2 linked regions of the Drosophila melanogaster genome follow. The protein of the gene in region 2 interacts with the protein of the main gene of each other region in a pairwise test. Each region holds a gene or a part of one and is shown on either strand. Other genes may lie near its edges.

Region 1 (6,746 bases), on a different chromosome or scaffold from region 2:
TGGAGGCCAAGTTCTTTCAGCATTTGAACCGCCTGTCCTACGCCATATATCTATTAAATCCCCTGGTGATTGCCCTCGTTTACAGTCTGACCAGTACGAGCTCTGCAGTTGATCCCTTTCTGCTGGTAAGTTGCATTCTCATTTGATTTTGCTTTTTAATAATATTGAGTTGTTTCTTTAGAGCGTCATCTGCTGCGGGTTTACGATGATCGTTTATCTGGCCTCCATCGCCTTTTCGCTGGCTTTTGAGCTGCCCTACAGCAATCTGTCTAGTTTGCTGCTCAAGGGAAAACCAAAAACCTCATAAACTGTGATTACCTTTCATTGTTAGCATTACATCTAAGTCATTTATTAATAGAAAGTTATGGTTATAAAATAATGTTATCTTTTATTGGAATTTTCGAATTTAGATATAATATTAAAAGAATAATATTATAGCAACGTTGCTGTTGGAATTTTTGAATTTAGTAACAAACATACTAATAATACGATATTTAATAAGTGTAGGCGCCAATGTTTTAAATTTCCTTGTGGATTCCATTGGATTCCACAACGTGTGGTGATGATTAGGTTTGCACCTTCACTAACTAATGAAATCCACACTTTTGGTTGCTTTCAAAGAAGTTAAAGGTAGTTTTGGTTGTTTTAAGTTGTAAACTGATATTGTTAACCAGCTGACTAACTTTCCCAGTTCAGAAGTATCACACATTTGAGCAATATATTTAAACGATCAACCCACCGAAGTGCGAGAAAGTGTGACCTGCTTATGTAAAAGTGATTTAGATACCGAGCTTTTCCGAACTGACTTTTCCAAAGCTTAAGGTATTTTTTATGAAAGAACCAACGGACCCACTGACAGCGTCTAAAAAAAAAGATCTTGTCCAAAATATATTGATTAGTACCACTGCCATTCTGCATTCTGCCAAACGAACCCGTTAAACAGTTTGCCCAGACCCGGATCCAGATCGAAATGCCCAAGGAAGAAGCGGAGCCATCGGCGAGTGGTCTTGCGGTGGCCGCCAAGCAAAACGATGTGCCATCCGCGGAAAACTCGAATCACAAGGAAAGCGACGCATACGCCTCCGCCTCTGCCAGCGCCAGTAGCGCCTCGACCACGCCCCCACCCGCCCAGGAAGACGCCGAGGAGGCGGAGCTGCTGGAGCGTATGCGCGGCGATGCAGTCGGCAACACCATGTACAGCAGTCGATTCATCCTGAAAACGGTGATGAGGGTGGGAGAATTACTGCGGCATTCAACACTGGATCAGCAGCTGGAGGATGACCTGTGCAAAGTGTGGGACATGTCGGTGTCCCCCGAAGTGGTCACACTGCTGCTGGAGAACGGAGCCATTGATCCGATCATGTACACCCTGGTGGCGGGCTGTGAAGATGTGCGGCTCTACGAGATTCTTATCGGACTGCTGGGCAATATGTGCGCCCAGGTGGAGTGCGCAGAGATATTGGCCTGTGACCGCTACACGTTGGAAACCCTGTTCAAGATGACATACTGCATGGACACCGCCATGTTGATACAGCTGATGCGACTCTTTCAGTACATCATGGCCCATGTGCTTAGCGGCAAGGAGAAGTTCGCTGTGAACTGGTACATCTGCTTTGCTGCCTTTGAGAACTCCGCGCAGAACCTGGGCAGGATATTGCAACTGTCCGTTAGCGATGAACTGCTAGTAGCTGCACTGAAGGCCACAAATGCTGTGCTGGCCAGTTGCGCCTTGGTGGAGGAGGAAAACGCAAACTCCACGTTGAATCTAAAGCCTTTTGCGGAGGTCTTTCTAGTGCCAGAACTCTGCGAGGGGGTCAATAGCGCGTTTTTGCGACTCATGCGCGATGATCAGACAAAATTGACCGACGAGGAAGCTGGCGAGGACAACGAAGATGCAGAAGTGCCAGCGGCCCACGACAGTGATGAAGATGCCGACGTCGGTTACGACTCGTGCGGACCAAAAATAACCTGTGATGTGGAGATCATACAAACCTACCTCAATATATGCACCATTCTGGTCCAACTGCCAGAGGCGCAGGCCTCCATGGATGTGTATGCACCCAGTATAGTCAGTTGTCTAGCGCGAATACTGCAGTTTTTGCAGCAGCCTCTGCAACTCATTCCATTAGGCGAACGCCAGGAGGAGTATCTCGAGGATCTGGCGCACATTTGGAGTGTAAGTTTGGAAAAGATACTTAATATTCGACGTTCTATTTAAATATTTATTTTTGCAGCGCCTGAAGTACTTCTATCACAAGGAGGCCTTCTTAAATCTTTTGGAATTGTGGTATAGACTTAAACAGCACATTGACAACTACACGGGGGGAAGTGATCCCGACGCCAATGAGTTCGAAGAGGACGAAGAGGAGGAGGATGACGCTCCAAAGGAGCAGTATGTGGAGAACGCCTTGAAGTTGCTGCGCCTGTTGGCATGTATGGTGATAAAAGCGGAAAACTCGGATCTCCAAGAGATTGGCGATGAAAAGGTGCAACTGTTTGTGTCTGCACTCAAAGCCGGAAAGGAAGAAGCCATTTTCTCAAGGGCACTTGAATGCTTAAAGGATAAAGTGGCTAAGGAGTCGGGCCAAGCCTAAACAACATGCCTCCATGATGGATAAAGCAAAAATGACTGAGATTGTAGCTTGCAGCACAATATATTCTTAACTTAGTTAGTCTCTGTCTTTACCTAAGGTAAATCGTCCAAGGTGCCGGTAGCCTTCAACTTATTACGCATCATATCGCTCCATGACTGTTTTCCCAGGCGCACGCCCTTGTCGCCTGTGCTGCTTACTTCCAGTCGATTTGTATTTGGATTGCTTAGCACGAATTTGTTCTTGCTCTCGTTGAGAGCATGGGCTACATGCTCCAGTTCGTTTTCCAATTTCACTTCGGGGGCTGTTACCTCGATGTGAAGATTCTGCTCTATGGCTTGGGAAATGTGTATGATAGCCTCTTCTAATAAGTTCTCGGCGTCGATTTTGTTGCTCCCCACTAGCTCAGAGAGTTGGACATTTAAATTTCCTCCTTTGGTAGTTATTTGAATATTGCCATGTACTCCAGCTGAAATTGAAAGTTTTTAGCATGATGGTGTTATTCTTCGTTGTTTCGCATACTCATATTGAGATCCGACGACTGATGGACGTGCACTTCGCTGCTTTTGTGGACATTCTTGAGCTCCAGACGCCCAGTTTGTGTCTGAAACTTTGACTTTTCCACATAACAACAATCGGTTACAATACTGCCAGCTTTGGTGGAACAATTCAAGCTGTCTCCTTGCAACTTATCCATCGCAATGTTCTAAAAAAGAAATATAAAGGTTAATAATAAGATCAGATTGATAGTAAATTTTTTCTCACCCCATTTTGTGACTCTATTTGGGTAATCTTGCCCAGCAATGTGCCCTGGCAATTGATGTTGCCATTTTCACTGTACAAGTTTATATGGGTGGCCTTGATATTTTTGGTAAGGATGCCTTCCTTTGCTTTGACTTGCAGCAGTTCACTCTGTATGCCTTCCACTCGCACACTACCTTTTGCGTCCACAGAGACATCGGAACGCACAGGTATTTGCAGATGGCATTCAAGCTTTGAGGGCTGCTCCGCCAGTTGTTTAACCACCACATTGACCACCTTGTCCTCATCGGTTACCTTCACATCGAGAGAGACATTCGAGTTCTTGACATGGCCGCCAACCAGTTGGGCGATAAACACATCCCCGCTGGTATACTGATGCACATCCGCGGGCTGGATGCGCAGGAAAACATCGGACTTCACGTTGATCCTGGCAAAGGGGTTTACATAATGCAGGATCTCCTGATGGACCATCCGCATGCTCACGGCCATGGCTGGTTTGATGTGGGCTCGCGACTTGTTCGCGTATTGGCGTAGATGGTTGTTTAAATGTGTCAACCACACGCGTTGCAGAAGCATTATAAATCCAATAAAGAAATGGAATTTATTAGATTTGTTTACTTTTAAATGCAAAATCAGCTGTGGCTGCGTATTTTGCAGTACTGTATCTAAGCGCACTACCCAGCACCAACTGGTTATCGATTGGCTACGGGCAGTAGCCAACACTGTCATCCGTCATTTTCCAGTTGGAGTTTTTCAGTGTTCTGCGACGGTTGCAGTTTTCTTGATACGCAGTTGAAAATTGTTTAGTCCAGCCAATTACCATCCGAAAAAAACAGCAAAATGTCCGGAAAAGATAGGCTACCGATTTTCCCGTCCCGTGGTGCCCAGATGTTGATGAAGGCCCGTCTGGCTGGAGCCCAGAAAGGTCACGGTCTGCTCAAGAAGAAGGCGGATGCCCTGCAGATGCGATTCCGTTTGATTCTGGGCAAGATCATCGAGACCAAGACCCTGATGGGTGATGTTATGAAAGAGGCAGCCTTCTCGCTGGCGGAGGCCAAATTCACGTCTGGCGACATCAACCAAGTGGTGCTGCAAAACGTGACCAAGGCCCAGATCAAGATCCGCACCAAGAAGGACAACGTGGCTGGTGTCACTCTGCCCGTTTTCGAGTCCTACCAGGACGGATCCGACACCTACGAACTGGCCGGTCTAGCCCGTGGTGGTCAGCAGCTGGCCAAGCTGAAGAAGAACTACCAAAGCGCCGTTAAACTGCTCGTGGAGCTGGCCTCGCTGCAGACCTCATTCGTCACCCTGGACGAGGTGATCAAGATCACCAACCGTCGTGTGAACGCCATTGAGCATGTGATCATCCCCCGAATCGATAGGACTTTGGCCTACATCATCTCGGAGCTGGACGAGCTCGAGCGTGAGGAGTTCTACCGACTGAAGAAGATCCAGGACAAGAAGCGCGAGGCACGCATCAAGGCCGACGCCAAGAAGGCGGAGTTGCTGCAGCAGGGCATCGATGTGCGCCAGCAGGCCAATATCCTGGATGAGGGCGATGACGACGTGCTGTTCTAAGTATTACCTTGGATGTGTTTATTCCAGCAATATTATTGTTAAACTATTTTCTGTTCTGTATCCGTTTCCATATTGTAATTCGCAAAGGGCAAGCCACAAACTTAATTGTACCTATGTAGCAAAAGTGTGTAGACTATTCCAATAAGCAGAAAAGTATGTATTCCATTTTTGTAGTGTAGTGTAAGCTGCGCAAATCATGCATTAAAGTCTTGTTGTATCATACGATGTGCATTCTGTGTAATAATTAAGTGGAAAAAGGGAATTTTCATTGCAAAAAGGGTCATCTGACTTGTTTTATACAATAGCAAAAGCAACAAAAACAATTGCACAGTCACATGACAGCAAACATATGTCTGATTGGAAGCAGTGTTGGACAGCGCTCGTAGGTGTTTCGCTTGCATTGGATCAGCTGTTTGCGTGGCTCTTTTTGTGCTTGCACGCTTTTTAGCCGAAATTATTTATATTTTTGTGAAACAATGACCGAGTTCCAGGCCGTAGTTTTTGCCGCTGGGCGTGGCACTCGTCTACCCGAGGTCTTGGGGGATGCCCCCAAATGCCTGCTGCCGGTGGGTCCATATCCTCTGATTTGGTATCCCTTAAATCTGCTGCAACAACACAACTTTACAGGTAATTCGGATAGTCTGAATTAAAAACCTGGATTTAATTGAAAAATATTTCAGAGGTCATTGTTGTGGTACTGGAGCAAGAAAAACTAGAGATCCAATCTGCTCTGGAAAACACTCCCTTAAAGCTGAGACTGGACTATGCCACGATTCCTAGTGACGGGGATTTCGGAACTGCCGACAGTCTGCGCTACATATACGATAAGATCAAGTCGGACTTTCTGGTGGTCAGCTGCGACCTGGTCAGCAATGTCAGCCTATATCCGCTGATCAACAAGTTTCGGGAACATGATGCCGCCCTTGCAATGCTCCTATTTCCCAGCGGATTTGAGTCGGACGTTGTTATGCCCGGTCCCAAAAGCAAGCACAAACCGGAAAGGGATTTGATTGGCATCCATGCGGCCACTCAGAGATTGGCTTTCGTATCCGCCGCCAGTGACTGCGAGGAAACACTCAACATCCAGCGACATCTGCTCAAGAACCGCGGAAGGTTGGATGTATACAGCCGACTGGTGGATGCTCATGTTTATGTGCTGAAAAAATGGGTTATCGATTATCTACGAAGGGTTAGTTTTGATATGACCTTATAGTAAATTGTTTTCTAATATTCAATCTTTGCAGAAGGAAAATATATCAACCTTTAAGGGCGAATTTCTGCCGCATTTGATAAAGAAGCAGCACTCAAAACGACCTCCTAAAACGGTGCAGGACACCACATCCGAAGTGGGCGTGGTCACCAAGAATGAGGATCATGTTTTGCATGTGAGTTACTACTTGGTATTAACAGGTTACCTTTAGTACCCGTATACCCGTATTGAATATCATATAAAATCCTATTATGTCTTTAACTTTCAGTATGTAGGCCACACCATTCTGGACCAGAAGATCACGCAGACTTCACTGTTTAACCAATCTCTATCCCAATCCCCCTATCATGGCGATATTGTGCGTTGCTATGGCATTCAGGCGCCCAGAGATGCCATAGGTGTGCGGGTAAACAACACTTTGAGCTTCTTGGCCATCAATCGCAAGTTAGCCAGCATCTGGAACAATCTGTGTGGCGAAAAGCATCCACTGATCTCTCCTGGAGCCGTGGTAAAATCAACCCAAACGAAGGAGATCATAGCGGCTGACAATGCCAAGTTGTCCGAAAAGACTTCACTGAACTTCAGCGTTTTCGGACCCAACT
Region 2 (7,764 bases):
AATCAATGGCTTCTGACTAAGGTACGGGTGGCACTCGATTTGAAGAACTACCGGTTTAAGCTTGGCCACACTGAGAAGTCTATTCATCTGCTGCTCATTGAAGTTAGACACACCGATGGCCTGGCACAGACCCTCGTCCACCAGATTCTCCATTGCACGCCACGTGTCCACATAGTCGATGTCCTCGAATGCGGCCTTATTGGTGTCCGGACACGTGGGATATAGGTTGTCACTGCCCGACTTGTAGGCCATGGGCCAGTGCATCAGGTAGAGGTTTAGGTACTTGACTCCCAAGTTCCTTATGCTTGTCTCACATGCCGGGCGCACCAAATCCGGCTTGTGGTGTGTGTTCCAAAGTTTGCTCGTGATGAAGAGTTCATCTCTGCAGTGCAATATGTATTTATGGCTTAGATAAACGATTGATTAGGCCTGAAAGCAGCACTTACCGTGTGACCACTCCCTCGTCCATTTTCTCCCGGAGAGCAGCTCCCACTTGCGCCTCATTGCCATAGATATGAGCGCAGTCAAAATGGCGATAGCCTATATCAATAGCATCCTTTACTGCTTGGGTCACCACTTCCGGCGGGCTCTAAAATGGCGAATAAAACGTAAAAAGCTGAGGTGCATCAAAAGCTTTTGCTTGACCCCGAAGAGCTTTGACATTGACCGTGAAATATGCAGTGGAAATGCACATTTCAGCTGGCTATTATTTAATAACAATATATATCTATGTAAAAGTACTTACCCGCCAAGTTCCGAGACCCAACATAGGCATATTTTTACCATTGCTCAAGAGAAAATTCGGTGTCGACATGTTTGAATCCTTTTGCTCCTTGTGAAATATGTTGTTGCACTGGCTTCGTTTTTGGAAAGCTTTAATTTGTAATTTACTAAGTGAACTATACTCAAAGGCCTATTAAACTGGCTAGAAACAGCATGTCTTGTGACAGCTCTGCTATCACAACTATATGTACGAAAATTGTTTAAATTTAGAATCTTTTGGGCAAGCAAAAGACCTTCGCGGAATATAATCGATTCGCTGCAGAGGGAAATTTTAAAATTTAAAACAAAAAACTCTTTTTCTGCGTTCAGAGTTTTATTTTATAAACCGAGTATAATGTAAATAAATACCTTTTTTTAATAAAATAAAATAAAATGTTAAAAAAAAAACTTTTGAAAAAATATTCTTTGTATTATCGCGTTATAAAAAACAAAGACAATCGATAGAAGTTTCCGATGAAAACATCGCATTCGCAGATAGTGCCTGACCTACCATCTCTAATTTTGCCGCCTGCGAAAAACACAAACAATGTTCGGCACCGTAAATAACTATTTATCCGGCGTTTTGCACGCCGCCCAGGATTTAGATGGCGAGTCCTTGGCCACGTATCTCTCCTTACGAGACGTGCACGTTCAGAACCACAATTTGTACATTGCCCAGCCGGAAAAGTTGGTGGATCGATTCCTGAAACCGCCACTGGACGAAGTTGTGTCCGCCCACCTGAAGGTGCTGTATCACCTGGCACAGGAGCCTCCTGGTTACATGGAAGCCTACACCCAACAGTCGGCAGCCTGCGGAGCCGTTGTGAGGCTTTTGCAGCAGCTGAAGGACGAGAATTGGTGCCTGCCACTAATGTACCGCGTGTGCCTGGATCTAAGGTACTTGGCGCAGGCCTGCGAGAAGCATTGTCAAGGATTCACACCTGGCCACGTATTGGAGAAGGCTGCCGACTGCATAATGGCCTGTTTCCGCGTTTGTGCCGCTGATGGACGAGCTTCAGAGGAGGACACCAAGCGTCTGGGCATGATGAACCTCGTAAACCAGCTATTCAAGATTTATTTTCGAATCAACAAGTTGCATCTGTGCAAGCCCCTTATCCGTGCCATCGATAATTGCATCTTCAAGGATTCTTTTCCGCTGCCGGAGCAAATTACCTACAAGTATTTTGTAGGTAGACGGGCTATGTTCGACTCCAACTACCAGGCAGCCGTACAGTATCTGTCGTATGCCTTTAGCAACTGCCCGGATCGGTTTGCCAGCAACAAGAGGCTCATCCTCATCTATTTGGTGCCAGTGAAGATGCTGCTGGGATATCTGCCCAGCAAATCCTTACTGCAGCGCTACGATCTCCTGCTGTTTCTCGATCTGGCTATGGCCATGAAGGCTGGCAATGTGAATCGCTTTGATGAGATTGTCAGGGACCAGGAGCTGGTGCTGATCAGGAGTGGTATCTATCTGCTGGTGGAGAAGCTCAAGTTCCTCGTGTATCGCAACCTGTTCAAGAAGGTGTTCGTCATCCGGAAATCGCATCAGTTGGACATGGGTGACTTCCTCTCCGCCTTGCATTTCGTTGGCTTAACCGATGTTTCTCTGGACGAGACGCACTGCATCGTGGCCAATCTCATTTACGATGGAAAGATTAAGGGGTACATCTCACATGCTCACAACAAACTGGTCGTGTCGAAGCAAAATCCATTCCCCTCAGTGTCCCTTTAGTGCATTTTGTAATTATTGTGAATTTTTAAGAGTAAAAGAATCCAATTTAATCAGTGTATTAGTTTACTGGATGGGGCATGTGAATGGAGGGCACCAACGATGAGTATAAGACCTGAAGACTTTGAATTTAAAGTACCTTCAATTCTATTTGGTTATAATTTTGTTTGGTTTTTCGAAACCTATATGTTTCAAATCAACTTATGAACTAATAATATAATTTTTGGTTATAAATATGTTTATTTTTCAACGGTTTTAAACTAATACCACTTTTTAAACTTAATCGAACTTTGGAATTGATATATATCGATTTTTGTGCTCGAACCGATGTATCGACAGCGGAATCGGTTTCGGTCACATCTCTAGGTCCACCGACTATCACTCATCTCTGAACTTTTTGGAACGCAGCTGCATGAATTGTCGTAGTTGAGCGAATTTAAACAAATTAACACAATACTTGTGGTATTACCTGGTAAATGATTAGAGCCTCATTCGCGCAAAGTGTACATAAGACAAGTGGCGAAGATTAGATCTAGTTAGCTAGTAACCATTTCTCAGCCGGCGACGTGTTGTCATTTTCGCAATCGTAAAATCAATATTACTAATTTTGCTTTGCGTTTACAACGTGACATAACTAAAACGCAAACTACAAAGTGTTTCTTTTTCACTGCATTGCAGAAATCCGCTGACACCGAAAAAAGCGACGAAAGCAGCGCCAAGTCGCCGAATCGCAGAGTACCTGGAATAGGAATAGTGCGTCCCCAGTAGAGGCTAAACTGAACAGCAGACATGGCTGCGCCGGTCATTGTCGAGGCCACGGTCAAGCAAACCGCCACGGTGAGTAGTCCGCCGTAGTCCAAATTCCGGAAGCCCTCGACTAATCACTTGTGTATTGCAGCTGATCTTCATGCACGGCCTGGGTGATACGGGGTAAGTGGGGTCATCCTCATTCAAAATAATGCTCCCAAAGACTTCATTCACAAAATATTGAAGTATGCGAAACAGAAATATTTGCACATATGAAATTAAAAGGATTTTAACGCTTCAGTTCCTATGGGAAAAAAAAACAATTTATAAGCGCTTAGGGTGTTCTAGATTCAAGTAACTGATGAGAAGCCTTCAGAGTATTCCCCAGTTAAGCTCATTATGTATATCCCATACCATTTTAAATTCGTTCTTCCTTTTAAATTATTAGAAAACTGCAAACAAAACTTACCTAAGTAAATAGAAGTTTTTTTGAGTGAAAGAGTTATGCAAAATCCTTCTTATCTCGTTAATGAATGCCTTTTCCAACAGTCATGGCTGGAGCAGTGCCCTAGCCGCCATCCGCCCACCTTTCATGAAAGTCATCTGCCCCACGGCGCCCACACAGCCCGTTTCGCTGAACGCCGGCTTCCGCATGCCGTCGTGGTTTGACCTGAAGACGCTGGACATCGGTGGGCCCGAGGACGAGCCGGGCATCCAGTCGGCGCGTGATAGTGTGCACGGTATGATCCAGAAGGAGATTAGCGCTGGGATTCCGGCCAATCGCATTGTCCTGGGCGGATTCTCGCAGGGCGGAGCCTTGGCACTGTACTCGGCACTCACGTACGATCAGCCGCTGGCCGGCGTGGTGGCCCTATCCTGTTGGCTGCCGCTGCACAAGCAGTTCCCAGGCGCCAAGGTGAACAGCGATGATGTGCCGATTTTCCAGGCGCATGGCGACTACGATCCCGTGGTGCCGTACAAATTCGGCCAGCTGAGCGCCAGCCTGCTCAAGTCGTTCATGAAGAATGTGACGTTCAAGACGTACAGTGGACTATCGCACTCGTCGTCCGACGACGAAATGGATGACGTCAAGGTGAGTGGGTCGCACGGAGCGTCATTTGGAATTCCCATGGCTGACGAAACGTTCACTCTGCTCTTCTCGATTACAGGACATCATCAGTAAATGGGTAAACTAACTTCCACTGAACCATAGCACTCTTAGAACGTACGAAAGCCCCCGACCCAGCCCGTTGCATTCCAACTATTCACGCAATATGGAGCGCAGTAAGAGAGTCACACTGAGAGTTATACGAGTAGGCTCTCTCGTAGCCCAATTATGGAAATTATCACTGAAAAATCAATTCGAAAAGCAATCAATTATTATACACACACGGTAGCTATACCTAATTAAATGCCAAAATACAAGCAATTTGCGAGGGAAATTCTCCAGCGCGAGACGTTTCAGAGTATAGAAGCAACTGACTTTGATATTTCTTCGCTGCTAATTATTTCGGTTTACTTATTTGGGACTTGTTCGTATTTAAATTGAAATTAATAAAGTTATATAATCAAAGAACAACTATAAAACCTATAGCCACAATCTGAATTGGATTACAACTCTTTCAACCAAAACCCGATTGCCAGCGATTCTGCGTTGCTATTTAGCTGGCAAACGGGCGTCATTTCAGATACTTTAAGTGACTAAATAAATCGCACTTAACATTTGTTTGTTCGTTGTAGCTAACATTAAAACCGCCAATTCTCTCGATTCCATTTTGATTTGATTTCTCGTTTCTTATTTCATTTTATTTCGCACAGCAACAGGCAAACAATCATCTGTAGAGCCGCGGCCCCACTGGCTACCAATTGAAATTCGCATTCTTCACTTGTTAAACCAATGGCAATATACGAACCGGTTGTTCAGATTAAACGACTCCCTCGGGCCCTCAAATGCACACCCTCTCAGATTCTTTATAAGCACACATATTCCACCTGCTAATCCAGTAGTCCTGCCGCACCACTCACCATCTCTCATCTCGATCTATATATTTGCAGACACAGTGGGATAGCCAGAACATGGCTAGAAAGGCGCAATGCTGCCAGTTATCGTAGTAGCAACCAGTGCTAGTTGTAGTGAAGGTTCCTTCCTCAAATCAAGCAAATCAAAGCTCCTCAGCCTAGTCAGGACGTCTCGGGCCGCACGAGAATTGTATTTTAGTAATTATTTTGTACATACACACGATGAAGTTGGTTAAGAAGTTGAAGTTGGTTCACCTGGTGAAGTGACAGGCAATCCATTTGCCGTAGCGAATGGCCAATAAAGTTATTTGAAGCTCTCAACTGCAAGGCGAACTTAATCCAGAAAAAAGGGGTCTTCGTGTCTGTTTTTTCCAGTTCTACTTTAAAATTTGCGAACGTAACTGACCTTTTTTAAAATTTTGATGGTAGTGTTGCATAACGTTGTATTATGTTCTCTTCGGTATTTTTTGTATGCCTTGGTATAATTTATTCCATTTACCCTTTTTATCGATAAATTTGGCGCGCTTTTGTGTTCAATTTAAATTCGCTATGGTTGTGATATGTTTGTAAAAGCCGTAAATTGCGTTATTTTTTGGCCTTCTAAAGTCTTGGATAAAGTAAAGTAAGAATTCATTAAAGACATCTTCATAAACGTTTTATAAAATTATATTTGGTTTGAAGAACTTATTCATTTATTGCTCCTGCGATATCTTTCTCACTGAAGTCTACGAACTAAATTGTTTTAGTTCCCTTTGTTTAAATTATTAAAAAAAAACAAAATAAATGTATTGCCTTTGTAACAATAAACAACAATTATACATTTTAGGTACTACTTATTCTCAATTCAGTTGTATGTAAGTTTAATCTTATTCATATTGATTTGTTCTTTTCTATATGGCATATGCTAATTTACTGATTCACAGACATAAGACTCAAATCCCGCTCTGTACTGCGACCATCCACTGACATTTGGGGAACCCGTTGGACTGCGACTCCAAGTGCCGACTAAGCGTCAGTTCAGTTGTTTTCACGCCGCCGTTGAGAGTGGACGCGGTTTTGCCAGCTCTTCAAAAATTTAAGTTCGCGTCGCTTTTTCCTCGGCCAATTTCAGCACATTTTTCGCGGGGAAATTTGAAACGCATTACATAAGCCAAGCCAATGTAAGAAGTGATCATAAGAAAAATCAAAACTATCTAAATCTGATGTGCATATGCCAATTAAATCAATTTTTGCGAGCAAGTCAATTTCACTGCGCTCTAGTTTGTTTTCGTCTTTGTTTTGATCGGCTCTATCCACAAAGGGGGAGCCTTTTGTATTGTGTTTGCCCAGTCGGATGTGCAACAATGGCATAAGAACTACAATAATCTATATGTTCACCCAAATAATCAACATTGCATTCTGTGGACTAGCAATTCATTTTGTGACATTTCACTAAATAGATTTCCCGACGATCGTAACTTATCTGAAAACAATGAAATTTTAAAGCTTTTTATGATTTCAGTTTGTATTGCACTTTGGAGTGCATTTAAAGATAGATTAATTAATTTTGAGCTTATCTGTTTCAAAAAAACAGTATATATATGGTGAAATAATACGAATAACATTTTTAATACATTCTTGTTGACTGACGCACATTTACAAATTTACAAGTTTTAAATCAAGACCCCGTCAAAGTTTCAGTTTTAAGTGCTCCTCATTATAATATGACTATTGTTAAATTATATTCTACATTTACCTTCGTCTACAAATGCAATTCTTAACTTGATTTATATTAAATATATATTTAAACCAAATTCGCTCTTTAAGATAAGCAAGGAATTTCATTTCATAACTAGACTAAATTTAAATACATAAATTGTTTCACAATTTACCTCCGCTTTAGTAAACTCAATATTGTTTCCCAAAAATTCCTTTTTTTAGATTCGTGCATATCTTTCTATTTTTGTTGTCACTGACCTATGACTTCAATGAGTAATTAAAAGTAAACATGTGATTAATCACTCTGCTCAAAGTACACGCGTTTCTTTGTTAATTATTCAAGTGTATGGATTGCGCTTCTACGTGACATGGTTACAATCCAATTATTATTATTATTTAAGGGGGAATTACAATGCACCATCCTTAATTGACCAATCGGCTTGTTTAATAAGCTTATTTAGGAATATCATTATACACATAAACCAAACAAAATCGTTCACCTCATAAGCCCAACAATATTTATTGCCAAAAACAATAAAATCTGACTAAGAACGTTTATTAAATTCGGTGCTTTTTGTGGTTTGCTAATGATTGTTCTTTATTTTCTACACACAATTCGAATTTTTAAGCGATTAGTTAACTGTCAGGAATTGACGAATTATTCGAATCCAATTGTTGGTTAACCCAAGACTTGTTTTAGTTAAGTTTTCGGTATGCTAAGCTCGCTGTCTGCGGTCAAAGGTCACGCCGATCCGATGTGCCTCCATATGCTGTTGCCACCTGACGTCACGGACTACAACACATAG

Evidence for each region. Proteins that work in one complex are often made in the same cells at the same time.
Region 1: the proteins of Apt1 (region 2) and CG8187 interact in a two-hybrid assay, tested with the Drosophila melanogaster proteins (one large-scale study listed by BioGRID).

Annotation. Positions count from the first base shown.
Region 1 is NT_033778.4:15,537,344-15,544,089, forward strand, and holds CG8187 (uncharacterized protein), read right to left. Parts: upstream 4,021-6,746; 5' UTR 3,930-4,020; coding exon 3,357-3,929; intron 3,298-3,356; coding exon 3,114-3,297; intron 3,061-3,113; coding exon 2,687-3,060; 3' UTR 2,595-2,686; coding exon of another isoform or gene 2,235-2,594; 3' UTR 2,211-2,234; downstream 1-2,210. Other genes in the region: CG30471 (uncharacterized protein), read left to right, coding at 1-125, 182-307; CG30467 (uncharacterized protein), read left to right, coding at 971-2,176, 2,235-2,594; Vha36-1 (vacuolar H[+] ATPase 36kD subunit 1), read left to right, coding at 4,194-4,934; eIF2Bgamma (eukaryotic translation initiation factor 2B subunit gamma), read left to right, coding at 5,411-5,561, 5,615-6,123, 6,179-6,319, 6,413-6,746.
Region 2 is NT_037436.4:11,625,171-11,632,934, forward strand, and holds Apt1 (Acyl-protein thioesterase 1), read left to right. Parts: upstream 1-2,866; 5' UTR 2,867-2,966; intron 2,967-3,046; exon of another isoform or gene 3,047-3,080; intron 3,081-3,172; 5' UTR 3,173-3,283; coding exon 3,284-3,331; intron 3,332-3,392; coding exon 3,393-3,424; intron 3,425-3,790; coding exon 3,791-4,334; exon of another isoform or gene 4,335-4,410; coding exon 4,411-4,428; coding exon of another isoform or gene 4,429-4,437; exon of another isoform or gene 4,438-4,822; intron 4,823-5,059; coding exon of another isoform or gene 5,060-5,083; exon of another isoform or gene 5,084-5,296; coding exon 5,297-5,353; 3' UTR 5,354-5,579; downstream 5,580-7,764. Other genes in the region: CG6083 (uncharacterized protein), read right to left, coding at 1-382, 447-589, 746-814; PCID2 (PCI domain-containing protein 2), read left to right, coding at 1,310-2,497.